7 linked regions of the Macaca mulatta genome follow. Each later gene encodes a partner of the first gene's protein in a complex. Links are inferred from orthologs where the notes say so. Each region holds a gene or a part of one and is shown in the gene's direction. Other genes may lie near its edges. The genes, in order: HDAC1, MORF4L1, HMG20B, CDK2AP1, CDK2AP2, CHD4 and MTA2.

What was found.
Region 2: HDAC1 (region 1) and MORF4L1 share a complex: the UniProt entries of both Homo sapiens proteins name them as parts of the SIN3B complex. The link is inferred for Macaca mulatta from reciprocal best matches to the Homo sapiens genes HDAC1 and MORF4L1.
Region 3: HDAC1 (region 1) and HMG20B share a complex: the UniProt entries of both Homo sapiens proteins name them as parts of the BHC histone deacetylase complex. The link is inferred for Macaca mulatta from reciprocal best matches to the Homo sapiens genes HDAC1 and HMG20B.
Region 4: HDAC1 (region 1) and CDK2AP1 share a complex: the UniProt entries of both Homo sapiens proteins name them as parts of the nucleosome remodeling and deacetylase (NuRD) repressor complex. The link is inferred for Macaca mulatta from reciprocal best matches to the Homo sapiens genes HDAC1 and CDK2AP1.
Region 5: HDAC1 (region 1) and CDK2AP2 share a complex: the UniProt entries of both Homo sapiens proteins name them as parts of the nucleosome remodeling and deacetylase (NuRD) repressor complex. The link is inferred for Macaca mulatta from reciprocal best matches to the Homo sapiens genes HDAC1 and CDK2AP2.
Region 6: HDAC1 (region 1) and CHD4 share a complex: the UniProt entries of both Homo sapiens proteins name them as parts of the nucleosome remodeling and deacetylase (NuRD) repressor complex. The link is inferred for Macaca mulatta from reciprocal best matches to the Homo sapiens genes HDAC1 and CHD4.
Region 7: HDAC1 (region 1) and MTA2 share a complex: the UniProt entries of both Homo sapiens proteins name them as parts of the nucleosome remodeling and deacetylase (NuRD) repressor complex. The link is inferred for Macaca mulatta from reciprocal best matches to the Homo sapiens genes HDAC1 and MTA2.

Annotation. Positions count from the first base shown.
Region 1 is NC_133406.1:208,549,398-208,552,909, reverse strand, and holds part of HDAC1 (histone deacetylase 1), read left to right. Parts: intron 1-2,583; coding exon 2,584-2,722; intron 2,723-3,180; coding exon 3,181-3,322; intron 3,323-3,512. UniProt on the Homo sapiens protein: Histone deacetylase that catalyzes the deacetylation of lysine residues on the N-terminal part of the core histones (H2A, H2B, H3 and H4).
Region 2 is NC_133412.1:57,080,809-57,084,908, forward strand, and holds the start of MORF4L1 (mortality factor 4-like protein 1), read left to right. Parts: upstream 1-1,289; 5' UTR 1,290-1,369; coding exon 1,370-1,409; exon of another isoform or gene 1,410-1,479; intron 1,480-1,561; exon of another isoform or gene 1,562-1,754; coding exon of another isoform or gene 1,755-2,046; intron 2,047-4,100. UniProt on the Homo sapiens protein: Component of the NuA4 histone acetyltransferase (HAT) complex which is involved in transcriptional activation of select genes principally by acetylation of nucleosomal histones H4 and H2A.
Region 3 is NC_133424.1:4,383,175-4,387,352, forward strand, and holds the start of HMG20B (SWI/SNF-related matrix-associated actin-dependent regulator of chromatin subfamily E member 1-related), read left to right. Parts: upstream 1-1,376; 5' UTR 1,377-1,466; intron 1,467-1,718; 5' UTR 1,719-1,736; coding exon 1,737-1,774; intron 1,775-2,120; coding exon 2,121-2,229; intron 2,230-2,810; coding exon 2,811-3,014; intron 3,015-3,968; coding exon 3,969-4,089; intron 4,090-4,178. UniProt on the Homo sapiens protein: Required for correct progression through G2 phase of the cell cycle and entry into mitosis. Required for RCOR1/CoREST mediated repression of neuronal specific gene promoters.
Region 4 is NC_133416.1:130,669,627-130,672,690, reverse strand, and holds part of CDK2AP1 (cyclin-dependent kinase 2-associated protein 1), read left to right. Parts: intron 1-956; coding exon 957-1,083; intron 1,084-3,064. UniProt on the Homo sapiens protein: Inhibitor of cyclin-dependent kinase CDK2. Also acts as a component of the histone deacetylase NuRD complex which participates in the remodeling of chromatin.
Region 5 is NC_133419.1:6,872,817-6,876,664, forward strand, and holds CDK2AP2 (cyclin-dependent kinase 2-associated protein 2), read left to right. Parts: upstream 1-1,306; 5' UTR 1,307-1,771; coding exon 1,772-1,853; exon of another isoform or gene 1,854-2,004; intron 2,005-2,010; exon of another isoform or gene 2,011-2,055; coding exon of another isoform or gene 2,056-2,164; coding exon 2,165-2,262; intron 2,263-2,356; coding exon 2,357-2,489; intron 2,490-2,842; coding exon 2,843-2,910; 3' UTR 2,911-3,338; downstream 3,339-3,848. UniProt on the Homo sapiens protein: Acts as a component of the histone deacetylase NuRD complex which participates in the remodeling of chromatin.
Region 6 is NC_133416.1:7,522,674-7,526,185, reverse strand, and holds part of CHD4 (chromodomain-helicase-DNA-binding protein 4), read left to right. Parts: exon of another isoform or gene 1-201; intron 202-978; coding exon 979-1,174; coding exon of another isoform or gene 1,175-1,177; intron 1,178-3,129; coding exon 3,130-3,293; intron 3,294-3,468; coding exon 3,469-3,486; 3' UTR 3,487-3,512. UniProt on the Homo sapiens protein: ATP-dependent chromatin-remodeling factor that binds and distorts nucleosomal DNA. Acts as a component of the histone deacetylase NuRD complex which participates in the remodeling of chromatin.
Region 7 is NC_133419.1:11,464,213-11,468,494, forward strand, and holds the start of MTA2 (metastasis-associated protein MTA2), read left to right. Parts: upstream 1-1,478; 5' UTR 1,479-1,756; coding exon 1,757-1,784; intron 1,785-1,902; exon of another isoform or gene 1,903-2,185; intron 2,186-2,520; coding exon 2,521-2,588; intron 2,589-2,956; coding exon 2,957-3,050; intron 3,051-4,282. Other genes in the region: EML3 (echinoderm microtubule-associated protein-like 3), read left to right, coding at 1-61, 329-459, 540-743. UniProt on the Homo sapiens protein: May function as a transcriptional coregulator. Acts as a component of the histone deacetylase NuRD complex which participates in the remodeling of chromatin.

The DNA of each region.
Region 1 (3,512 bases):
TCTAAAATGTCCTTCTGGTTCAGTCCCAGCCCAAGTTCAATCTCTGACATGGTACTGACAGGTGTCCTTGACTGTCCTCTCCTACTAAGAGATCTTATGTACAGGAGTTCCCTGCAGACCTCCTGGGGTTGTTAAGATGCTGTATGTAAAAGCAATTTGTGAACTGCAAAGTGCTATAAAAATGGAAGTGTCATCATCTGTGAATCTGTCCTATGAAAAAGTATGGTAATTACCTTTAGAGGTCAGAAATACTCCCCACGTGTCTCCCACTTCCATTTGCAACTTTTGGGTTATCTCCAGGATGACTCTAAACCCTTTCTTAAATATTTATTTCCCTGTGATCCCCCACCAATATAATCATTGTGTCCACCCCCGCTGCCCGACCAGTATAATCGCAGAAAACAAAGAAGTGCACAGAAAAAAACACAGTCACCCATAGTCCCAGGGTTGGTGGATAACCTCTGTCACCATGTTGGTGTTTGGCCATTCTTTGGTGTGTGTGTTTATATCTGTATAACACATATACAACATCTACATTTTACAAAAGTAGGTTATATACATATCACATATATATGGTTTTATGCCTGCATTTCCTACTTAACGAAATTGTCTGTAGTTTTCTACAGCTTGCTTTCTTGTGGCTCTATGATTATTCCATGTTGTGGATTTACTTGAGTTGATCTAATCTGTCCCTCTTCTTGATAATTTGGATCTATCTATGCTTTTATTGCTGTTAAAATCAACACTGCAGCCGGACACGGTGGCTCACGCCTGTAATCTCAATCCTTTGGGAGGCCGAGGCAGGTGGATCACCTGAGGTCAGGAGTTTGAGACCAGCCTGGCCAACATGGTGAAACCCCATCTCTACTAAAAAATACAAAAATTAGCCAGGCGTGGTGGCGCACGCCTATAATCCCAGCTACTTGGGAGGCTGAGGCAGGAGAATTGCTTGAACCTGGGAGGTGGAGGTTACAGTGAGCCGAGATCGCGCCACTGCACTTTAGCCTGAGTGACAGAGTGAGACTCCATCTCAAAAAACAACAACAAAAAATTAACACTGCCGGCCGGGCGCGGTGGCTCAGGCCTGTAATCCCAGCACTTTGGGAGGCCGAGACGGGTGGATCACGAGGTCAGGAGATCGAGACCATCCTGGATAACACGGTGAAACCCCGTCTCTACTAAGAAATACAAAAAACTAGCCGGGCGAGGTGGCGGGCGCCTGTAGTCCCAGCTACTCGGGAGGCTGAGGCCGGAGAATGGCGTGAACCCGGGAGGCGGAGCTTGCAGTGAGCTGAGATCGGCCACTGCACTCCAGCCTGGGCTACAGAGCGAGACTCCGTCTCAAAAAAAAAAAAAAAAAAATTAACACTGCCACAAATGCACTTGCACACATGAGTGTGTATTTCTCTTTTACTTCTTCTGGGGCCTATTTGTGCTAGTGCTTTTTTTTTTTTTTTTTTTTTTTTCTTTTTGAGACGGAGTCTCGCTCTGTCACCCAGGCTGGAGCGCGGTGCCCGGATCTCAGCTCACTGCAAGCTCCGCCTTCCCGGTTCCCGCCATTCTCCTGCCTCAGCCTCCCGAGTAGCTGGGACTACAGGCGCCCGCCACCTCGCCCGGCTAGTTTTTTGTCTTTTTTTGGTAGAGACGGGGTTTCACCGTGTTAGCCAGGATGGTCTTGATCTCCTGACCTCGTGATCCGCCCGTCTTGGCCTCCCAAAGTGCTGGGATTACAAGCTTGAGCCACCGCGCCCGGCCGTGCTAGTGCTTTTTGACCTAGTGTATCGGCACTATCTTTGGTCATTTTTTTTTCTTTCTTTCTTTCTTTTTTTTTTTTTGAAGTAGAGTCTCCCTCTGTCACCCAGGCTGGAGTGCAGTGGCGTGATCTTGGCTCACTGCAACCTCCGCTTCCTGGGTTCAAGCGATTCTTCTGCCTCAGCCTCCCCAAGTAGCTGGGACTACAGGTGTGTACCACCACGCCCAGCTAATTTTTTTTTTGTATTTTTAGTAGAGACAGGGTTTCACCATGTTGGCCAGGCTGGTCTTGAACTCTTGACCTCAGGTGATCTGCCCACCTCGGCCTCCCAAAGTTCTGGGATTACAGGCGTGAGCCACCGCACGTAGCCTATCTTTGGTATTTTTTCAAAGTTCCTTGACCATGAGCCATAGTAAGAAATAAATTTACACATGCAATCCAGGATACATATAACACATATGCATGCATGCACACACTCACTCACTCTGAAGCCAGTTTTACAAAAGAGCAGTTACCTTTACTGTTACTCTGATATTTTTTTCTATGCTATTTCATTAAAAATATATATATACTAATAATGATGCACTAAATCAATTTTAAGGCCTGCTAATGGGTTACTACCCTCAGTTTGGAAAATAGTATTTTAAGAGTAGCCAGTGTCATGTTTATTTCCTGCTGGAGTAGGGTGGGAGGGAGGGGACTAATCTATGAATTGTACAATACAGCTGTTGAATAGGCAGGTCTTAACCTCTCACTTGGTTCCCTGGGCTTCTTGGAAGAAGGGGAGAGTGGCTTAGTAACCAGCTTATGTTCTCTCTTCCCATGCCCAGCAAGTGCTGTGAAACTTAATAAGCAGCAGACGGACATCGCTGTGAATTGGGCTGGGGGCCTGCACCATGCAAAGAAGTCTGAGGCATCTGGCTTCTGTTACGTCAATGATATCGTCTTGGCCATCCTGGAACTGCTAAAGTATGCCTGCCTGGCCTTGTCTCTTGGAAGAGCACCTTAGGCCAGGTTCCCATTTCCCTTTCCCCCTGGGCTTGCCTCCCTAGTTTGCTTTTCCTACCGATGTGCTGGCTAGGATGTGCTCGGTGAGTGTCTCTGGCCATCATCTCCTTGATGGGGTCTTGGTTTGAACTGAGCCACGGCATGATCAGGGGCAGGTGCTGCTCAGATCCTGCCTCCAGAGTGTCCCTGTGTGGCTGGAGTTGACCCTGGCTGTAGAGTAGGAAGATCGGACTTGGTCGGCTTGGTCAGGCCTCTGGAGACACCTGGCCGCTCTTCCACCTTCCTTCAGCCAGTTTCCACGTCTCTGGTGCTTAGAGATACCTGAGGGAGGCAGCCAGCCCGGTAAGCTGGGACCTGGCGCCCTTGGCGCGTCCCATCCCCAAAGAGCCCCCAGACCCCTGACCCCCTTCTGACCCTAGGTATCACCAGAGGGTGCTGTATATTGACATTGATATTCACCATGGCGACGGCGTGGAAGAGGCCTTCTATACCACAGACCGGGTCATGACTGTGTCCTTTCATAAGTATGGAGAGTACTTCCCAGGAACTGGGGACCTGCGGGTGAGAACGCCCTTTAGGAGCCAACCAGCTCACCCTCAGCTGGCAGCTCTACTTCTCTGTCCTATCTCATGCCACTAAAAACTGCTTCCTGCCTCTTCTGCCATTCAGAATACCATGTCCCAATCTGAAGCTCTTGCCCTGATCTCTTTCCCTTCTTTATTCTGGAGGAAGGGAATGATGGGACATAAAG
Region 2 (4,100 bases), on another chromosome or scaffold:
AAGGGGTTGTGTTAAAAAGACTGAAGGAGAAATGGAAGTCAGAAAAATGGAGAGGGGCCCGGAAATGGTAGGGTGTGGAACCCGGGCAGGGGAGGGCTTAGAAAAGCCATGGAGGCAGGCTGGGCACGGTGGCTTGCTCCTGTAATCCCAGCACTTTCCGAGGCCAAGCCGGGCGGATCACGACGTCAGGAGTTCCAGATCAGCCTGACAACATGGTGAAACCCGGTATCTACTAAAAATACAAAAATTAGCTGGGCGTGGTGGCACGTGCCTGTAATCCCAGCTACTCCGGAGGCTGAGGCAGGAGAATCGCTTGAACCTGGGAGGTGAAGGCTGCAGTGAGCCGAGATCAGGCCACTGCACTCCAGCCTGGGCGACAGAGCGAGACTCCATCTCCAAAAAAAAAAAAAAAAAAAAAAGAAAGAAAAGAAAAGAAAAATATATAATATTGAAGAAATCCGTTTGTTTAGTGTGTGTACATTCAATCATGGCTCAAAAAATTAGATGACAAAAAAGTACAAACAGGGCAGGTACGGAATGCAGAGGTTGGCATATTCACACTAGCCTTTTGCGGATAGCAGAGCTCCATTATCTCAAAAAGCCAAAGCCTGACTAGTGTTTCCCACGTCATCTTCCTCATTTCCGCAAGGCCGGGACTGGAGAAGAGGAGGTAGACCTGGGAGCCAACAAATGGCTATCAATCCCACCAAATAGACTAGGCAGTGGGCTTGCTAAACAACGAAGCTTCCAGAAGCGGACCCCACTTCCCATCCTCTTGTGGCCACATTGCTGATCCTAAAGCTTTTCTATGCAAAAACTAGCGGAATGCTATTGAATATAGGTTTTCGAGGCAGCCCTATTCTCTCCGGCTACTTCAACATCAATGGGGGCTTATTTGCCCAAAGGACGTCGCAACTGGGTTTTTCCCATTTTTTCATCGCTGGTGGTTCACCGCCCCGACTCTCCCCCATTGCCCGCTCTGCTTTAACCTCCCACGTAATCAATTCCCCGCTTTACCAACCCGCAGCAGCCCGGGGGATGGGGAGTGGCGGGGGGGTGGGGAGGAGTGGGGTAGGGTAGCCGGCCCCTCCCCCACCCAGCTGCGCCTCCACCAACTAGAAACTACCAGTCCCGGCGTGCCCCGGGGCGGCGCGGGCGCAGGGGCGCGGGCGCGGCGGGTTGTCATTGGCTGGAGCAGCGGCTGCGCGGGTCGCGCTGCTGTGAGGTCTGCGGGCGCTGGCAAATCCGGCCCAGGATGTAGAGCTGGCAGTGCCTGACGGCGCGTCTGACGCGGAGTTGGGTGGGGTAGAGAGTAGGGGGCGGTAGTCGGGGGTGGTGGGAGAAGGAGGAGGCGGCGAATCACTTATAAATGGCGCCGAAGCAGGACCCGAAGCCTAAATTCCAGGAGGGTGAGTGTGCGCCTTTGGGAAAAAGGCACCTAACGGCGCAGGAGATGGAGGCGGGCTCGAGGTGGTTGAGGTTTGAGGGCCGGGGGTGGCTCGGGGTGCACCCTGAGAAGGCGGCGGATAGTGCTTTGTGCGGGGAAAGCGCATTGCGGATGGCAATTCCGATGCGTCATTGTGAGCGCTTTGTGAAGCGAGAGTGCTACGCAGGCGTTAGAGTGGGAGAGGGAGCGTTTGGCGCGTGGCACACCCTCGTCAAGTGTTTGTTATTGTTCTGAGGAAGAGGGCGCGGAGAGAGCAGCCTATTGTAGGGAGGCGACCAAGGCGCCATGGCGGCGGTTAGGGGAAGTGATGTGGCGGCGGGGGGAGGGGCGGCGGTGGTTTCTGGCTGTCCTGCAGCGCGCCCGGCCGCTTGGGCAGCCACGACCGGCGGTTAGGTGCTCCCTGGAGCCCCGGGGTGGTCGCGTTCGGTGGAGACTCGGAGCTGCAGATGGGGGTGGGTTTGGCGCCACGGGGCGGGAGAACTGCGTTGTAAAATGGCCGTTGCAACATGGCGGCTTCATCATGGCCGCTGGCGTCTCTGCCCCGTATGCAGGCGCAGCTTCAGGGCAGATGCAGCGCCCCCTTCCACGAAGACCGCAAGGTTGCCGGGACCCTTCGCTTACCTCAGAGTGGTGGGTGGGGACAGAAAAAAAAAAAAAGGATCAGTGGGATGAGCGTTTTCCTCCGCTTTGTGTTGCCTGGAGGCCTCATTCTGCTCTTAGGCGCAGTGCCAAGATCCTATGGTAACGTTAGTGCGCTCTCGCTTTGCAGTTGCTCGTAAAAAGTAAATAAAAATGATCTGAATGCAGTGTTAACGCCGTTTGCCTTTGTAAGTCCCATTGTCTCGACGTCATTTTTTAAATGCAGTAATTGTTTGATTAGTTGCAGTGTTTAACAGTGACTTGAAAGTTGAGTTTATTTTTATTAATTGGTTTTCGATTGGCATGAGGTTTGGCTAGGGTTAGACTGCCAGTGGAAGGCAGCTCTTTAAATTTTCACAACGCTTCAATTTATGTATAATAAGGTGGAGGTCTAATAGCTAAAAAGGAAGTAAAATCCTGTAAAAGGAGGAACACTCTAATATTCGTTTTCATTGCTATGGAAATTTATGCTAGTTACCGTAAATACGGTGTTTCCATGCGTACTATTTTTGTTCTAGGGATTTTTAGACTTGCATTAAAATTCCTTTTAGAGACATAAATCTTAAACCGTAGTACTGCGTATCTTATGGGATATTTAAGGGAGTTTTAGGGGTATTTTGTTAACGAGTGACTTTTTTGTTTTTTTATATATATATATATATATATATTTTTTTTTTTTTTTTTTTTTTTTTTTTTGAGACGGAGTCTCGCTCTGTCGCCCTGGCTGGAGTGCAGTGGCCAGATCTCAGCTCACTGCAAGCTCCGCCTCCCGGGTTTACGCCATTCTCCTGCCTCAGCCTCCCAAGTAGCTGGGACTACAGGCGCCCGCCACCTCGCCCGGCTAGTTTTTTGTATTTTTAGTAGAGACGGGGTTTCACCATGTTAGCCAGGATGGTCTCGATCTCCTGACCTCGTGATCCACCCGTCTCGGCCTCCCAAAGTGCTGGGATTACAGGCTTGAGCCACCGCGCCCGGCCTGTTTATATTTTTGAGACAATGTCTCACTCTGTCACCTAGGCTGGAGGGCAGTTATGGTACTCGGCTCACCTCTGCCCCCCGGGCTAAAGCGAGCCTCCCAAGTAGCTCGGATCACTGACGCGCGCCGTCATGCCCGGCTGAGTTTTGTTCTGTTTTGTTTTTAGGGGTTTTTTCTTTCTTTGTGGGTTTTTTTTTTTTTTTTTTTTTTTTTTTGTATTTTTGGTAGGGACGGAGTTTCATGATGCCCAGGCTGGTCTTGAAGTCTTGGGCTCAAGCGATCCACCCGCCTTGGCCTCCCAAAGTGGGAGGATTACGGGCGTGAGCTATCGCGCTCAGCCGTGTGACTTTTAATACCCTTCTCCCACCTTGAGAATCTGTGACTCTACCTCCTATGGATTCATTATTTTACTAGACGTTTTAGAGCAGATATTCTTAGTGCATTCAGAGGGTCCGTGAAATTGAATGAGGAAGATGTGTTTTTTCTGTGTACCCAAGTTTAGTTTTCAGTTAACAGTGTAATTCCTCCCCCCAAACCCCGAAAAAAAACGCCGCATTAGTATTTTCAGATCTCAGCATTACAGTTGTGGAAGATGTTTTCAGTTATCAATCATTCTCGTTTCTTCAAAATTAGGGTAGTTGCTGGATGACTAGCCAAGTCTTTGTCCTGTAATGTCATAGAACGTGACATTTAAAATGTTTTGGTGTTTCGATACAGTCGGTTGCCTTTGTACTACTGTGTGTTTTATGTATTTATGAAATCATTCGGCTCGTAGGCTGTATCAGACTGTCAAGGCACAAAAAGTTAATCGCTTCTGTAGGAACAGCCTAAGGTTGGCTGTTTAAGGAAGCGCTTTAGTTCTAGAGGGTTGCTAGTTAAGAGGGGAATAGCAGCAGAGAATTCCTTGTGCCTTTTTTTTTTTTTTTTTGAGACGGAGTCTCGCTCTGTCGCCCAGGCTGGAGTGCAGTGGCCGGATCTCAGCTCACTGCAAGCTCCGCCTCCCGGGTTTATGCCATTCTCCTGCCTCAGCCTCCCGAG
Region 3 (4,178 bases), on another chromosome or scaffold:
AGGAGTGAACTGCTGAATTGCATGGTGATTCCACATTTATTTAACCCTTTGAGGAAATGCCAGTCTGTTTTCCAAAGCAGCTGACTGCATCTGCCTCCTAGACATTTGAACAATTCAATGAATGTGTATTGAACACCCACCACGGTCACTGCTGTGAACCAAACAGGCAGGCCACAGAGAGGAAACCGACTTACGGAGAAAAAAAAAAAAAAAATCAGAGGCGAGGTCCTGGCTGAGCAGGTGACATTTGAGCGGACTTGAGGAAGAGGAAGGGGGCTGGGCGCGGTGGCTCACACCTGTAATCCCAGCACTTTGGGAGGCCGAGGCAGGTGGATCACGAGGTCAGGAGTTTAAGACCAGCCTGGCCAAGATGGTGAAACCCTGTCTCTACTAAAAATACAAAAATTAGCCAGGCGTAGTGGCAGGCGTGTGTAATCCCAGCTACTCGGGAGGTTGAGGCAGAGAATTGCTTGAACCCGGGAGGCAGAGGTTGCAGTGTGCCGAGATCGAGCCACTGCACTCCAGCCTGGGCGACGGAGCAAGACTCCGTCTCAAAAAAAAAAAAAAAAAAAGAGGAAGTGAGCAGCCCCCAACTTGGGTCTGATCCCCCAGAGCGGAGCATCCTGACCCAACTTCACCAGGTCCTTGCAACCTCCCTTTACCACCATCTTTCCCCAAATACTTCCAGCCCAGCTCCCAACCCCACCCCCTGACTGACCCACACCCCGTTCTCAGCTTCGCAGCATCCCAGCCTCTATGCCCTGGACATCGTGCGATGTCCCCATTGCACAGGAGGGAAAGCCCAGATCCCACTGGGAAAGCCGCCCCTGTGGCCAGAAGCCCTCGGATCCGGATGTCGGGGGTTCTGAATAAATAAATAGGAAACGTCTCCGATGGGTTTTGCAGGATGTTAAGAACAGGTCCCACCTTGTCCTAGGGCTGGGGGCTGCCTCACAGGAACTTAACCCTAGCACCTCCGTCCCCATGGCAACCGGGGCGTGGCCCGACCCGGATCCGCGGGTCGCGCCATCCGGCAGCTGCTGGGAGTATCGCCCTCAGAGCGGGAGGAGGAGTCGGCGCCTCACCTACTGGCCCTTTAAGAGGCTCCGCCCGGCAAGTCCGCCACGCGCTCCCGATTGGTCCCGAGCGCGGCCGAGCGCAGCCGAACTTGACGCACCGCCCGCCGCCTTCCTTACTAACCTCCCACGCGGCTCAGCAGCCTCCCCAGCCAATCGCCGGCCGGCGCGCCGATCGGTATCTGCATGGGCACGCCCCGGGGGAAGGCCTCACCCAATGGGACCGTTCGCCGAGGCCTCATTAGCATGCCGGGGGCGGGGAGGGGCGGGGCAGTCGGCGGGGGTGGGCTGCGGGCGGTTGGTTGGAGCGTCGCGCAGTCGGGAGGTCCGGGAAAGTTTCTTTGGAGGTGAAAACAGCCGCGGAACTCCGGGCCTTGCGAGGGGGCGGGGGTGCGGGGGTCCCAGGGCCGGGTCGGGGTCTTTCCTGGGCCGGGGGGAACCGGCCCAGGCCTCCCGGGGGGCAATCGCCCAACAAAGGATTCTTGGGGCGCCCGCCCTCGAGGACTTCCCCGCCCCCGGATCCGGCCCCCCCAGCGCTCCGGGCCCGGCATCCCGGGGCTCTCCATCACGGGATACCCCAGTTCGCGGTCCGCCATCAATCAGCCCAGGCGCTACTCAACTCCGCCCGCGTCCGTGTTCCAGGTCCGGCCCGGAGCAGCCATGTCCCACGGCCCCAAGCAGCCCGGCACGGCCGCCGCGTGAGTGCTCCGATTCCCTCCCCACGCCCTCGCTACCTTCCCGGCTGCAGCCCTAGCTCCTGAACCCCCGCTCCAGTCACCCCGGCCGGGGTCTCGACCGCCCCCAACCTGGGTCAGGGGGCTTCTCCCTCCATCCAATCCTGCATACCCCACCTCGGCCTCCAGCCCCTCCCAGGAGCCCCGCTTGTCCCACCTTCCGCGGATACTGACCCCATCAGACCCTGCTTCCTCGGGCTCATGCACTCTCGCAGCAGCCCCATCGTCGGGCGTCTAAAAGCCTTGGGGTAGGCGTTTGGGGGAGGGGAGGCTCTAGGGACGGGGCTGACCTCTGTATCCTTGGCTCCAGGCCGGCGGGCGGCAAGGCTCCGGGCCAGCATGGGGGCTTCGTGGTGGCTGTCAAGCAAGAGCGCGGCGAGGGTCCACGCGCCGGCGAGAAGGGGTCCCACGAGGAGGAGGTGAGAGTCCCTGCGCTGAGCTGGGGGAGGCCCCGGGCTGCGGCCCCAGCCTTGAAGTCCCGCCCCAGGCTGGATTTGAATTGCTTGTGGCTCCGCCCACAGCCCAGATTTTCCTCCGGAAGCTGAGACCCCGCCCCGTGCGAGCTGCCACGCCCCTGACAGGTCCTCTGCCTCCCTAAGTCCAGGCCCCGCCCACCACACAATGCCAGCTCTGCCCACTCTAAGGTCCCGCCCACTTCCACTCCTTGGGGGCGGCACCCTCCCCATGGTCCTGTGGGCCCTTTCTCCAAGAAGCCACGCCCACCAAGCAGAGGCCACGCCTACAATCTAAGTAAACACCACCCCTGTGCTCAAACCTCGGCCCATAGTCTCTGGGATCCCCTCATCCCTGGCCAGGGACCCCTCTAAACCACCGTGTCCTGACTCCTGACTGGGCCCTACCTCCATCTCTTCCGGGTTCTTCCTCCCAACTAGGCCCCGCCCCGTCCCCGCCCATACAGCATTAGGCCCCGCCCATGCCCCTCTGAGCCCCGCCCCAGTACGCCAGGCCCCCCTCCCAACGACGCAGCCCGGTTCTGCAGCCGGTGAAGAAACGCGGCTGGCCCAAGGGCAAGAAGCGGAAGAAGATTCTGCCGAATGGGCCCAAGGCACCGGTCACAGGCTACGTGCGCTTCCTGAACGAGCGGCGCGAGCAGATCCGCACGCGCCACCCGGATCTGCCCTTTCCCGAGATCACCAAGATGTTGGGCGCCGAGTGGAGCAAGCTGCAGCCAACGGAGAAGCAGGTGAGCGGGGCGCTGAGCAGGGCCGGCGGACCCCCGTACTACCAGTAGCCCCGACCCCCAAAGGATTCCACGTGCAGGGCTTTTCCTTATGCCTGGTGAAATGCCCACCCATGACCAGTTTTTGTGTGTGTGTGTGTGTGTGTGTGTGTGTGAGATGGAGTCTTGCTCTGTTGCCCAGGCTGGAGTGCAGTGTCGCGATCTCGGCTCACTGCAACCTCCACCTCCCGGGTTCAAGCAGTTCTCCTGTCTCAGCCTCCCAAGTAGCTGGGATTACAGGCGCCAGCCACCACGCCCTGCTAACTTTTGTATTTTTAGTAGAAATGGAGTTTCGCCATGTTGGCCAGGCTGGTCTTGAACTCTTGACCTCAAATGATCTGCCCACCTCAGTCTCCCAAAGTACTGATATTACAGGCATTAGCCACCATGGCCAGCCCATGACCAGCTTTTGGGGGCGCGGCTAGCAAGAGGCAAGACAGATCGAAAACTGGGTGACCAACAAAGATATGTCTAAGAAGTCAGGATAAGGCCTGGATTTTTTGTGAAATCTGATTTTCATATACTGTTAGTTTAAAAATTGCAAAAACATCACGGAAATGTAACAAAAGCCACCGCCGCTTTGCACCCCTGTAAGTGAAATTTCAAAGAGAAAAACGGGTGCAGGAGGGAGTCTAGATATCCACATACCCTGGAGGTTGGGTGCCTGCCCATGACTCTGGCGCCCAGGAGTGTCTTGTCAGGGCGGGAGTTGGGGATGAGCCTGGGGCATGGGAAGTGATGTGGGAGCTCAGAGGTCCTTGAGCAACAGGCTGAGGAGCCGGTTCTGTCTGTCTGGAGGGAATAGGGAACTATGGAAGGTTCAGGAGAGGGGAGGGTGCTGTGAAAGCTGAGTGATGAAGACTGGGTCCTGGCGTTAGAGGCTTCCCCTGCCTCAGGTCTTTTGGTGCTGTCCCCCAGCGGTACCTGGATGAGGCCGAGAGAGAGAAGCAGCAGTACATGAAGGAGCTGCGGGCCTACCAGCAGTCGGAAGCCTATAAGATGTGCACGGAGAAGATCCAGGAGAAGAAGATCAAGAAAGGTGGGAGGGGTCAGGCGCGGTGGCTCACGCCTGTAATCCCAGCACTTTGGGAGGCCGAGGTGGGTGGATCATCTGAGGTCAGGAGTTCA
Region 4 (3,064 bases), on another chromosome or scaffold:
CGGCGCCGAGACAGGCAGGAGGCCCGTGAGGCCTGGAGGCAGTGCCGTGGGGAGGCAGAGCAGCTGGACCAAGATGAGGACAGGAGGACAGAGCGCAAGGCCAGGGGACAGAGGCGGCGGTGGAGGAGGGAGGAGGCGAGGACCTTGCCCAGGGAGCTGGTGCAGCTCTGGGAGGAGGCAGCCAAGGGGAGGTGGTCTGGGCTTGCGGGCTTGCCGGGAGCCCAGCCTCGCTGATCCGGGTGCTTGCTGTGGGGCTCCCAGTGGTGGTGGGAGGAAAGGGTTTCTGGGGGGTGGGCCCTGTGGGTGGGAGGATGAGAGAAGGGAATGCATTCCAGGCTCTGGCGGGGCCATGGCCGATGGCTGTGGTCCTGGTGGCCCAGGTGCGGCCTCTGTCTCCCCACTGGCTTGGAGGCTCGGCACCTGCGATGTGCCCTCCTACTCATCTGCATCCTGGGAAATGCTGTTTGGACTCTTTTGTGCCAAGATGAGCTGGTTCCCCTGTTTTGTTCATTGGAGATGATACACTTGCTTCCTGGAGGCGACTGGGTGGTCTTCCTGAGTGTGTGAGGATAGAAGGGTGAGGACCATCCCCCTAACCTGTAGTTGTCCCCTAGAATGGGACGTGCCTTGGCCCAGCTGAGGTGGCTACCCCAGGAGTCTAAGGCTGGACTGCGTTCCCTCCTCTGACCGGCCCAGGGGCCTCTCCACCCACCTGCCTGTGGCCTTGGGGTCAGGCTGCTGAACCCCTTTTTTTTTTTTTTTTGAGATGTTGAGATGGAGTCTTGCTCTGTCGCCCAGGCTGGAGTGCAGTGGAGCGATCTTGGCTCACTACAACCTCTGCCTCATGGGTCCGGTCCAAGCAGTTCTCCTGCCTCAGCCTCCTGAGTAACTGGGACTACAGGTGCCCACCAACATGCCCAGCTAATTTTGCTGAACCAATTTCTTTCTGATTCTAGGGAACTGGGAACAGCCAAGTGCCCCAAAGCAAATACGCGGAGCTGCTGGCCATCATTGAAGAGCTGGGGAAGGAGATCAGACCCACGTACGCGGGGAGCAAGAGTGCCATGGAGAGACTGAAGCGCGGTGAGCCCGGCCCCGCTGCCCTGCCGTGACCACAGGCTAGGCCTTTAACTCTGGAAAGACTTTTGGGGAAAACATGGGAGGGTGGGCTGGGGATGGGGCTCCTTCATCGGAGCTCCTGTCTTGTCACAGAGTTGCTGTCTGCTATGGAGGCCTCAGGCAGGCGGTGGGTCTGGTGGCGAGGGGCCTAGGGGGCCGGATGCCTTCAGAGGGGTCTTCCGGGAAGGGCAGCCCAGCCAGGGAGCTCTTCTTACCCTGTGTGCTGCCAGGGGGTCTGCTGGCTTTCAAGGGTGTGTTCAAACCACCCCCCACCCCCCCCCCCCCGCCCTGGCCGCCACCACTCTCCCTCCTGCCTCCTGCCTGGTCTGCTTCTGTTGGCCGACACTGGTCCTAGGGAAGCCAGGCTCAGGGTTCTTTGGTGTCTGCACTGCCCTCTGCTGTCACCTCTTTGGAGCGAGACCCAAGGAAGTGTGTGGGTCTGGGGCGGGAGGCTGAGAGCACTTTGTTCTTTAATGACTGGAGAAGGAGGGCAGGCAGGAGATGACAGAGCACAAGGGAACTCATGTTAAGGTGTGACTGCCCGGCTGATTTTGAAAGGAGGTTAAATAGATTGCTATCTCCTGAAATAAAAAGGGAATGGAGGGAGAGCAGGATTTCTATTTTAGAAGGCGATAGTGCAGCGGAGCCATAGCCCATGAACTCATTCAAGATGAGGGGAGACTGGTGCTTTTTTTTTTTTTTTTTGGGAGACGGAGTTTTACTCTTGTTGCCCAGGCTGCAATGCAATGGTGCAATCTTGGCTCACCGCAACCTCCACCCGGGTTCAAGCGATTCTCTTGCCTCAGCCTACTAAGTAGCTGGGATTACAGGCATGTGCCACCAGGCCCAGCTAATTTTTTGTATTTTCAGTAGAGATGGGGTTTCTCCATGTTGTCTGGCTGGTCTTGCACTCCCAACCTCAGGTGATCTGCCTGCCTTGGCCACTCAAAGTGCTGGCATTACAGGCGTGAGCCACTGTGCCTGGCCCGGGACTTGGGGTTCTTAAAAAGGCTGGAGAAGCGACCTGGGAGGGGAACATTTTTTTTTTTTTTGAGATGGAGTCTTGCTGTGTCACCCAGGCTGGAGTGCAGTGGCGCAATCTCGGCTCACTGCAGCCTCCGCCTCCCGGGTTCAAGCGATTCTCCCGCCTCAGCCTCCCAAGTAGCTGGGAGTACAGACGTGCGCCACTATGCCCAGCTAGTTTTTGTATTTTTAGTAGAGACCAGGTTTTACCATGTTGGTTGGCCAGGATGGTCTCAATTTCTTGACCTTATGATCTATCCACCTCGGCCTCCCAAAGTGCTGGAATTACAGGCGTGAGCCACCATGCCTGGCCTGGGAGAGGAACATTCTTTGGTTGTAAATCTGTAGGAAATATGGGGGCTGTAGTTGAAGTCATGACCCCAGTGACACGAGGGCCAGTTGAGGACAGGCTGCTGCCAGGAGCGGGGTTGCTCTGGAGTTCATGCAGCCTTTGTGAAGAGGTTGACGGATCTCAAAGCTAGGTTGGGACCAGCAGGGTTAGAGGATGTGATTGAAGAGGGCCTGGGGAAGGGATGCAGAACCCAACCCTGGTCTCGCCCAGAGTGTTGGGTGGTCCCAGGGCCGCTCTCTGGTAGCAGGGGTGCTGGTTACCCGAATGGAAATTCCTGGGAAGATGCTGGGTCCCAAAGTCCAACAGGTGATTTGCAGTTGCCCATAAAAGGCACTGCTTCAAGTCAGCAAATGCGTACTAGCTGCCAGTCTTGCAGTAACAAGGAAGACCCAGTGCCTCCCCTTGGCCAACAGCCAAGCCCAAGCTGACCAAGCTCATGTCACAGCAGGGTGAAAACATGTCATAGAGGGGTCAGGGAGTTAGGAGCATAGGAGCGTTGTAGGTTGGTTGGCAACTGCAGCCCACGAGCCAAGAGCCAAGAATAGTGTGTTTTTCTTTTTTTTTTTTTTG
Region 5 (3,848 bases), on another chromosome or scaffold:
ACTGCAATGTAAGGAAGATGTTGCTTCACTGTCTCAGAGAATAAGGCCTCCTTGAGTACAGAGGCCATGGCCTGTTCATTTCTTTAACCTCAGGGTTCAGTACAAAGCATGAGATGGAGGAGGGAGTCAGAACATGGTTTTTGTGTGGTTTCTTGGGTTTTGTTTTTGTTTTTGTTTGAGACGGAGACTTGCCCTGTCACCCAGGCTGGAGTGCAATGGCACGATCTCGGCTCATTGCAACTTCTGTTTGAACGATTCTCCTGCCTCAGCCTCCCGAATAGCTGGGATTACAGGTGCCCACCACCACGCCCAGATAATTTTTGTATTTTTAGTAGAGACAGGGGTTTCACCATGTTCGATCACGAGGTCGAACTCTTGACCTCGTGATCAGCCTGCCTCGGCCTCTCAAAGTGCTGGGATTACAGGCGTGAGCCACCGCGCCGGGCCAGAACATGTTTGTTGGATGGATGGATGAATGAATGAATGAATGAATGAATGAATGAATGACTGTCCTGGAGATTAAGATCTACAAAGCTGGGAGCATGAAGGTACACAAGGCCAGAGAAGTCTGAGTTTGGGGAAGGAGCCTGGGAGAAAGGGTTAGTGAGTGGAGGAGGGTCTGAGGTCTAAGTTTATGGCGAATGAGATTTGAGGGGAGGGGTCTGAGTGGTGGAGTGGAAAGGTATGGGGGCCCTGGAGTGGGACAGGAAGCTCTTTATGACTATTCATTTAATCCACACAACCCAATGAGATTGTCATTTTCCCCATTTTACGGATGGGGAAACTGAGGCATACTGAGGTGAGAAACTTGCCTGGGGGAAATCGCTAGTGGGGGTGGTACTGAGATTCGAACCCAGGCGGTTGGCTCCAGTCTGTGCTCTTGACCAATTTGGTCCGGGGCCCGGCACACAAGTAATCCCTGTTTGCCCTACGGCCATTATCACTAACTGAGGCAGCGGCGCGGGGCCTTGGGGGTGAGGGCAAAGGGGTCCTTGAGGTCGCCCTTGGACCTGAGGACAAGCCAAGCCTCAGGAAGAACGGTGCGCGGCGGCATAGATGAAGGGCCCGTTGCCATGGGAACAAACGCAGGCCTCGGGCGGGCGCATGCGCAGATCGGGGAGAGGGTGTTGAACCGGTGAAAGGTGACGTAAAAGCGCACGGGGTGGGGCGCGGGGCTCGGGACGTCAAAGCCCTGCGTCCTTCGGCCCCCGGAGCAGAGAAGCGCGCACGGCAGCGGTGACAGCGGCCACGGCAGCGGCGACAGCAACCCCTGCTGGGCCGAAACTGGGCAGAGCGGAGCAGACGTCTGAAGCAGCGCTAGTGAGGCGCGAGGGTGGCGCCCGCGCCCGGGAAGACACCCTCGGCGCGAACCGGCGGCCCAGCCCCGGGTCCGGGTTCCCGAGGCCCCGCCTCTAGGGCCTGGGGACTAATCGGATTGAAAGCGCGCCGGCCCGGGCCGCGAACTCGCCAATTGCGGAGGGCGGTGGCCACCGCCCAATCCGGAGCAGACAGGTGCGAGGTCCGGAAGGCGGAGGCCAATCGGCGGCGGTTGCGACCTGCTGGGGCAGGTCTCGGCCAATAAGGAGGCTCGAGTGACATCTTCGCCCACCAATCGGGAGTGAGGGAGCATTCGTGCCCGCTCGCCCTTCCGGCCAGACCTCTATTTACCAGGGGCGTGCAGCCCGCTTGCCAATCAGAGCGCGGCTGAGCGGCCCGGCAGCCAACCCCCGAGGAGCGGCCGGCTGGCGTCCGCCGCGCCCAGGAGTTGGGGATGTCCTACAAACCCATCGCCCCTGCCCCCAGCAGCACCCCTGGCTCCAGCACCCCTGGGCCGGGCACCCCGGTCCCTACAGGTGAGGATCCAGCTCCACCCCTGCTCGCCTGCCGGGCGGTCGAGGTCTCGAAGAGAAGACGGCCTGAGTTCTGCAATACTGGGCTTGCCGCCTACCCTCGCTGAGCCTCAGTTTGCTGGCCTGTGAAGTGGGCGTGGTCACGTAAGGGCTTGTAGGTGGAGCGCAGTGGGAGGGATTTGTCCCTGAAGTTGATCAGCCTGGAATGAAGCATCCTTTGGAGGGAATCGGGCGAACCCGGTCCTGGGCTTGGAAAAGCTGGGAGGCGGCGTCCCTGCCCCGCGCTGACCTCTTACTCGCGCCTGTTGCTGCAGGAAGCGTCCCGTCGCCGTCGGGCTCAGTGCCAGGAGCCGCCGCTCCTTTTAGACCGCTGTTTAACGACTTTGGACCGCCTTCCATGGGCTACGTGCAGGTGAGTGGGGCCAAAGGCTTGCTTATGGATGGGGACTGGAGTCCCCCTCCCCGCCAGGTGCCTGAGCTCACTGCCCTGTTCTCTTTTGACATAGGCGATGAAGCCACCCGGCGCCCAGGGCTCCCAGAGCACCTACACGGACCTGCTGTCAGTCATAGAGGAGATGGGCAAAGAGATCCGGCCCACATATGCTGGCAGCAAGAGCGCCATGGAGCGCCTGAAGAGAGGTAAGTGAGGCCAGGCCGCCCTGCTTAGGAAACCGACACTGGACTATCTTCCATTAGGGAAAGAAAGACATCCGGAGGCCACCTGAGCCAAGCCTAGAGGAGGGCCAGTATTACTACCCAGAGAGGTGTTTTGAATCGAATTGAAATTGCGTCCATTTCCAGGGAAGAGCCTGGGAATTTGTACTTCTACAGGGCAACCTTGAGGATTAACCAAACCTCTAATCTCATCTAGCCGTCATTAGTTTGGAATTTCTCTTGCTGAAAGGGGAAAGGGAGTGGGGAGGCAGGGGTCCTCCTCTGGAGGGCAGTGGGTGGGGCTGTGGAGGGTTGCTGAGACCCCACCCCACCACCAGGTATCATCCATGCTCGGGCCCTAGTCAGAGAGTGCCTGGCAGAGACAGAGCGGAACGCCCGCACGTAACAGGAAGCGCCCCGGCCTCAGCGTCTGGACCTTTCCCGGCCACTGCAGAGCACCCGCTTCTCCCTGGCCTTCATCCCGAGTTGCACTAACCATCCTGGGCTTCCTGTCCTGTGTCCCTTGGTGGGTCCCCTCCAGGAACCAAGGAGCGGCTCTCCAGGTGGCAGCACTAAGGACATCCCCCCACAACAAGAGTTAGCAGCGAGGTCCCCATGAGTCCCACCCATGACCTGCCAACAGTGTTGCCCACCGGAACTTTCTGTGGTCCCCACCGCTCAGCCCTTCCCAGCCCTTCTCCCACTTTGTCCCGAGCCTCCTTCTCCCCCAGCAGGGGCTCAGGCCTGGCACCTCACTGCCTTGTGTCCTGAGCCATAGTGACTCTTTTATCTGTGTGTCTTTTGCTAAATATGCCCTTTTTATATTAATAAAAGATGATTTGGAGTTGTGCTCTCAGCTCTGAGCCTTTCTGGGTCTGGTTCTTCAGCTAAACCTGGGTGGGCCAGGCAGAGAAAGGGGAAGAGGAGACTAGGAGTGGGGAGGGTGTGACTAAACAGGGTTTGACTTGCCTCTGTGGGCCATCAGCCTCAGGTGGGAACCGGGCCCTCTCCGCCCCAGCCGTGGCGCTGAGAGCCCTGGGCCTTCCTGTGGTGCCACCAGGGGGCAGCACAGGGCCTGGCTGCTTCCACAGCCCTTGGCGCTATGGGCAGCCTGGGCCTGGAGGGCGCTTCCTCTGGATTGGCGGTGATGCCTGGCAGCATGGAAATGCCAGTTCACGTAAGCCACTCCCTCAAACGCCCTAATGCCCTGACAACACCCCAGCCTCTGAATCAGCCCTGAAGGTCTCTGACTCCTCAGAGAGAACGGGCACTGCTGCTTCCAGCCCTTGGCCTCACAGTCAAGGGGAGGGGCTGGCCGGGTGCTGCTGTCACTACCCCAGCACC
Region 6 (3,512 bases), on another chromosome or scaffold:
AAGTGTACCTTTTAAAAAGTATGTAGTGGGAGAAAAAAAGCATAGGTACAGAAAACATCATTCTGTAACTTAGAAACATACATATGAAACAACACAGTCTTTAAAAACCTACACAAAAAGCCACAGTATTACTATATTAGAAAGGTTGCTTTTCAGAGGAATGGAAGTGAGATGGCGATAAGAGGAAATAAAAAACAAAAATATTTTAAAATAGCAAAATAACCCTGTTTTTTTGAGACAGAGTTTCCCTCTGTCATTCAGGCTGGAGTGCAGTGGCATGATCCCAGCTCACTGCAACCTTTGCCTCCCGGGTTCAAGCATTCTTCTGCCTCAACCTCTTGAGCAGCAGCAGTTACAGGTGTGCACTACCATACCTTGCTAATTTTTGTGTGTTTAGTAGAGATGGGGTTTTGTCATGTTGGCCAGGCTGGTCTTGAACTCCTGACCTCAAGTGATCTGCCCATCTCAGCCTCCCAAAGTGCTGGGATTACAGGTGTGAGCCACTGTGCCCAGCCAAAACGTGTTTTTGAAGAGTAGTTGATAAAGAGTAGATGATAAAAAGGAAAATGTTTAACTGTAACTAAATGAAAACATAATATGGATATGTATATAGTATGATCTCAGTTATGTAAAAAACTATGCACAAAAAAACCTAAAAAAAAATCAGGATATATTTCTAGAAGGTGGGATCATCTGTTGTTAATTTTTGATATTCTATTTTCTAAATTGAGTTTTTATTGCTTTTGTATAAGAGAATCTAAAGGGTAAAGAGTTTTAAAAACGAGGACATTGAAAAAGGGAAAGAAAAAAGATACAAGGCAAAGTTAAACTGCTTGGGTGTGGGAATGAGCTGTCCATGAAGTTATTTATAGGTTCTTATTACTATCAGAAACAATGAGAGGTGAGCTGAGAGGCCAGTCAGAAGTAAGCAAAGTGAGTTATCAGTCGAACTCCCGTTTCCTTTTATCCCTTGTCCAGCTCTTAGAACAAGCTCTGGTGATTGAGGAACAGCTGCGCCGGGCTGCTTACTTGAACATGTCAGAAGACCCTTCTCACCCTTCCATGGCCCTCAACACCCGCTTTGCTGAGGTGGAGTGTTTGGCGGAAAGTCATCAGCACCTGTCCAAGGAGTCAATGGCAGGAAACAAGCCAGCCAATGCAGTCCTGCACAAAGGTAGCCAGTGGCTCCCCTGCCTCCTGCTGATTAGGCCTCCTCCCTCATCTAACTGCATCCCAATGTACATATATTTGTTTTCAAACCTTTTTCAGAGCTCCTTTGAGAGTTTAGGAGTTGGTAGGGACCTTTGCCATCCTTGGGGAGTTAATATGTTAGAGGCAATCAAGGACAGTAGTTCTTTGCCTCTTTTTTTTTTTTTTTTTCTTTTTTCTTTTTAAGAGGTGGGCTCTTGGCTGGGCGCGGTGGCTGACGTCTGTAATCTCGGCACTTTGGGAGGCCAAGGTGGGTGGATCACGAGGTTAGGAGTTCGAGACCAGCCTGGCCAACATGGTGAAACCCCGTCTCTACTAAAAATAGCAAAATTAGCTGGGCATGTGGCACATGCCTGTAATCCTAGCTGCTCAGGAGGCTGAGGCAAGAGAATCGCTTGAAACCAGGAGGTAGAGTTTGCAGTAAACCAAGATCGTGCCATTGCACTGGCTATCAGCCTGGGCAACACAGTGAGACTCCGGAAAAAAAAAAAGAGATGGGCTCTCAACATTTTGCCCGGGTGGGTCTTGAACTCCTGGACTCAAGTGATCCTCTTGCCTCAGCCTCCTGAGTAGCTGGAACTACAAATATGTGCCACTGTACCCGGCCACCTTTTTTTTTTTCTTTTTGAGATGGAGTCTAGCTCTTGCCCAGGCTGGAGTGCAATGGCGTGATCTTGGCCCACTGCAGCCTCTGCCTCCTGGGTTCAAGCAATTATCCTGCCTCAGCCTCCCGAGCAGCTGGAACTATAGGCATGCGCCACCACTTGCGGCTAGTTTTTGTATTTTTAGTAGAGATGGGGTTTTACCATGTTGGCAAAGCTGGTCTCAAACTAACTTCAAGTGGTCTACCTGCCTCTGCCTCCCAAAGTGCTGGCATTATAGGCGTGAGCCACCATGCCCCGCCCTGGCCACCTTTTTTTTTTTTTTTTTTTTTTTTTTTTTTTTTTGAGGCGGAGTTTTGCTCTTGTTGCCCAGGCTGGAGTGCAGTGGCGTGATCTCGGCTCACTGCAACCTTTGCCTCCCAGGTTCAAGCGATTCTCCTGCCTTAGCCTCCTGAGTAGCTGGGATTACAGGCATGCACCACCATGCCCTGCTAATTTTGTTTGTTTTTTTGTTTGTTTTTTGAGATGGAGTTTTGCTCTTGTTGCCCAGGCTGGAGTGCAATGGCGTGATCTCAGTTCACCACAACCTCCGCCTCCCGGGTTCAAGCGATTCTTCTGCCTCAGCTTCCTAAGTTGCTGGGATTACAGGCGCCCGCCACCATGCCCGGCTAATTTTTTGTATTTTTAGTAGAGATGGGGTTTCACCATGTTGGCCAGGCCGGTCTCAAACTCCTGACCTCAGATGATCCACCTGCCTCTGCCTCCCAAAGTGCTGGGATTACAGGCATGAGCCACCACGCCCGGCCCCACCTCTTTTAACTTTAAATATATTCAGGTTCTTGAGATGGAAAGCAAAGCAGAATAATATAGTGTCATTTGGGATACTTTAGAGGTAACTTCAGGTGATAAAAGATCCCTTCAAATTCTAGACCCCTTTCAGCGTTTTGTTTCTAATTAAAGTAAAAGGTTATGAGGAGGCGGAGGGTGAAATAAGGAAAAGAATGCTGTTATAATGGAGGTGGGAGACAGATTCTGAAGGTAGAGAAGAGAAAAAACAGGAATAAGCTTCTCAAGAAGAGGAAATACAATAATAGTAAGGGATAGTGAAGGTTTAGGTGACTTTTAAGAGCACAAAATCATGAACAGTTGGAACTGGAATATGAGGAGCAGGAATTTGAACATGGTGGAGGTCAGGTCAGGTGACAGAAGATAACACATCACAGTCACTTGGTCACTGAGAAGAGATGCTGGTCCACTAGGGTAGAGGGACCTCAGTCTTGGCCACCACAGCTCACCACCTCTTTTTCTCCCTTTGCAGTTCTGAAACAGCTGGAAGAACTGCTGAGTGACATGAAAGCCGATGTGACTCGACTCCCAGCTACCATTGCCCGAATTCCCCCAGTTGCTGTGAGGTTACAGATGTCAGAGCGTAACATTCTCAGCCGCCTGGCAAACCGGGCACCCGAACCTACCCCACAGCAGGTAGGACCATTTTCTTCTTGACACCACCTCTTCCTGCAGAACCATTCTGGAGCTTGTAACTTTGTTGTATGTTCCTAGCTTTACATACTGGGTGGGTAGGCTGTCAGTGAATTCCCTTGAGATTGGGTGGATTCCTATCATCTGGAATTCTGACTCCTTGGGTCTCCTTCTCTAGGTAGCCCAGCAGCAGTGAAGATGCAGACTGATAACACCTCCACC
Region 7 (4,282 bases), on another chromosome or scaffold:
TATGAGAGCCGAGACCGGGAATGGGCTACCTACACCTGTGTGCTGGGTTTCCACGTCTACGGTGAGCAGGGGCGTGGAACCCTGCTGGAGGGGTGGGGGACAAGGTGGAGCCCAGTTTGGGCTCGGAACGCTGGGCGTGTGTCATTGGGTGAGAGTCCAGAAACCTGAAGATCCAGCCCAGGAGGCCCCTCCGGCCCTCGGGACCGGGAAGGCTTTCCTGGAACGCGACAGTGGGTGGCTGCGGCTGCCGGAGCGCCTGAAACGGTGTAGCTCTGGGCCGTGGGTGGCGGTGGGTAGGAGGTCGGGCTGAGGCCGGCCACTGTGCTAGGCGTGTGGCCGGACGGCTCCGATGGGACCGACATCAACTCCCTGTGCCGCTCCCACAACGAGCGCGTGGTGGCGGTGGCCGACGACTTCTGCAAAGTGCATCTATTCCAGTACCCGTGCGCTCGTGCCAAGGTGAGGCCGCGGGGGCCGCCGGGGTGGGACGGGTGGGCCCGAGGGCTCCGCCGCCACTGCAAGTCTTCCCTCCCGCCCAGGCGCCGAGCCGCATGTACGGGGGCCACGGCAGCCACGTGACCAGCGTCCGGTTCACGCACGACGACTCGCACCTTGTCTCGCTGGGCGGCAAGGACGCCAGCATCTTCCAGTGGCGAGTGCTGGGCGCTGGGGGCGCGGGGCCGGCGCCTGCCACGCCCTCTCGAACCCCCTCCCTGTCCCCCGCCTCCTCCCTCGACGTTTGATCGCTGCCGGCGGGACCTACTGGCCTGGCGGCGTGGCCCCGCCCCGCTCTGCCCCGCCCTAATCCCCCACGACCAGGGGCCGACTCTTTCCTCGACTGACTTCGAAACATTCCCGACGGTGCATTTCCCTGGAGGGCGCGAGCGGCGCCCCTGCACACACTGTTTAGACCCGCTGGTTGAGCCGGGCAGCCCCAACCTAGGCCTTGACTCCCGCTGCCTGCTGAGGGGCAATAAACCAGAACCAAAGTCGCCTCCCGGTGCTTTTGTGGGGCGCTGCTGGGTGCCTCCGGGGCCCTGTGGGGTGGGGACGAAGGAAAAGAGGCGTGCGGAAAGGGCAAGGGAGCGTAGACCATTTATGCAAATAACAGGCAAAGCCGCTTGCAAATAACCTGGCGAAGCGCTAAGGCGCGCGAGTCTTCGGGGCGGGAGGAGGAGTTGCAGGGCTCCAGCTAGGACAGAGTTAAGCCCCACTCCTCTCCCGCCCTCGGAAAAAGGGGTGGGGGGGGTGCCGAGCTGCAACGGAAATAGCCGAGCGATTGGCCGACAGGAGCCGAACTTCTTCCGGAAGTAGCCGATCTGCGGGGTCTCGCTCTCCGACCTGAGCCGAGCAGTGGGCCTTGTTCTCCGGATCGGCCGAAGGTGTTACGGAAGGAGGCGAACCCTGAGGCGGGCCGGGCAAGCCTTCCCTGCGGCCGGCAGAGCTCAACGACTAGTGGGACTCGGCGGGGGTGGGGGCAGCTGCAGCCTGGCAGGAGCCGAGCTCGTTCCGGAAGAAGCCGAGCGGACCGGGGCCAGCCTCAGCGTCCCGGGAGTGAGGCGATAGCTGCGGCGGCGACAGCGCGGGCCGGGATGAACCGCGACGGCTGAGGCAGCGGAGGTGACGGCTGCGCGGGCCCCAGTGAGACTCCCTCGAAGCGCCAGCCCACCGTTCAGGGCTTTGCCTCTAGCCGAGCCCTGCCCCCGCGAGCCTCCCGGACCCCTTTGTGCGGCCGGAGGCGGCGGCGGGAACGGCCATGGCGGCCAACATGTACCGGGTGGGAGGTGAGTACCGGGCGCAGGGGTACAGGGTCCGGGGCGGGAGAGGTTGTGGTCGGGACCGGAGGGGCTCGGCACCGGGTGGCGCGAGGCGCAGCGTATGGGGCGGCATGGACCGGAGCGCGGACCGGAACCGGAACCGGGAGACGAGGAGCTAGGGTGCGGGAAACCGCGACGCGGCAGGGCGCCGAGACTCCTGGAGAGAAGCTGCGGGCAGCCCCGACGGCACTTTCAGGGCTGCGTCGGGGGCTCCTCGGGGCACGGAGTGGGCTTCGGAAACCGGTTCCGAAGGAGCTGACAGGGTGGGGAGGGAACGCGAGGGGCTGGGGCGACGGCTTTGCCACCGCGGAGGAGCCGCCCGGAGGTTTCCTCTTCCCAGGCGTTATTGTGCGCCTCAGTTCGAAAAGGTGGGGGCCCTGCGCTAGAGCGAACAATTACTTCGCCGCGACTGAGGTGCAACTCGTTGCTGAGTTGTGGGGACTGCAGGGGAATCCCTGCTTCTTGCCTGTTCCTTAAGGCTCACTTTTGAGTAATGGATCTGATTTTAGAACTAGGTGCGGTGGGGGTGGGGGACATCCTTATTTTCTCTTAGTCTTTACACTTTCACATCTCAGCGCGCTCTCTGCCTGAATCCTTATCTTCTTTTGATCCACTCAGGCCAACTTTCTCTCCTACTCTGGTGCTCTGCGTCTCTCCCATCTCCTCTGATCTTCGTGGTTCTCCCCCCTCCCTTCCCTTACAGATTACGTCTATTTTGAGAACTCCTCCAGCAATCCTTACCTGGTTAGACGGATTGAGGAACTCAACAAGGTGAGTGGAGCAGAATCTCTCTCCCTCCCTCCCCCAGTGGTCTCTTCTGAGGTTTCTAACTTCGGGTGGAAGAGAGGACCCTATACTAAGTACCCATTCATATTCATTCATTCATTCATTGGATGTATTCAGGAAAGGCTATTGAGAGCTTAGCAGGAACTTTACTATTCTGTCTCTTGGGGGCAAAGGAAAGGGATTTGGAAGTCTGTCCTTGAATGTAAGTGTTTACTCATATTTTCTTGGGCTTTTTAATTTAGGTCCCTCTGAAACTTACTGTTATTTGTCTCTTTGTGTATTTCTGTTCCCAGATGATCAATTTTCACTGCTACGTTGTTTTGTTTCTGTTTTTGTTTTTTTCCTCCCCTTAGACTGCAAATGGAAATGTGGAGGCAAAGGTCGTCTGTCTTTTCCGGCGCAGGGACATTTCTAGTAGCCTCAACAGCTTGGCTGATAGTAATGCCAGTGAGTATCTTCATCCCTTTCTTTTCCCCCTCCCCATGATCTGAGGCCTGCGCATGTCCCTGCAGGTATTTCCCCTGGTAGCATGCCCAAGGCAGAGGTGTGAGTTTGAGGGTGGGAAATGCCTGGCCTGAGGAGGGAGACCTGTTTTTACACGTTGGGGTTGGAAGCAGGGTGGAGAGATTGTGATATGGTTTGTGTATGAGAGTAGGAGAGAGACGATAAGGTTGATTTAGGGGATGAAGACGGGGTTTAGAGAAACAGAATGCTTTTCTAAAGGGGGGCAGTTTGGGGTACACTGGGACAGTAGGTGGTGACTGAAGGTCAAGGTGAAGAGGAAGAGATTGTACTGAGAAGCCCGCATAACAGAAGCAGCCTTATTTTGTAATCACAAGGTGGTGAGAATACCTGGAAGTTAGAAGATGGCTGGAAGTTTTCTTGCACTTTTTAATTTCTCACCTTGCCCATTTCCCCACCTGCCACCCCCCATTTTACATCTTTCCCTTTTCATTTTGCTCTATTTTCATCCTCTTTAAGGTCTCATTTTCTTTTTTTAAAAAAAAATATTTTCCTTAGCTGCTTTTTCCTTTCCTGCTTTGGTTTTCTTTTTCCTTCCTTTTGTTCCACCTTTCTAAATCATTTTCCTTTTTCAGACTGCTCTGGGTGAGAAGGGGTTAAAGAGGAGCCTGGCTAACCAAGTTCCCTGGCCCTTTAGGGTTTCCAGCCCCATCTGGCAGGGGCTGACCTTGGCCTTGTCCAATCAGAAGGGGTGTTGGGGGTGTGGTCCCCCTTGCCTTAGCACAGGGTTTCCGGAGCACACAAGCGAGGGGTGGAGCCTACTGAACAACCCCCCCTTCTCCCTGAGGTTGGGAACAATGCACCAATGAGCCTGGGCCTGAGGCTTTTCTGCCCCCTCCCACTTTGGTTGGCGCCTAGCCAGATTAACCCCTTCCACTAGGTTTCAGGGCAAGCTGCAGCTCTTTCAGGAGGAAGATGTTGGCACTAGCTTGAGAGGTGTTGTCCTTGAAAACCCTAGGAACTATTATTAGCCAAGTAGAGAATGAGGGATAGTTAGGGCTGCATGTGATGTTTTAGTGCAAAGAGTCTCCTGAAATTGAAAAGAACTGGTAAACACAGTCTTGTGTGATTTTTTTTTTCATCTTACTGGGTTGCTGGACCTCAGGCTGGTTTAGCAAGAGACAAATGTAATGTTCTTGCTGGCCTGTTGTGGACTT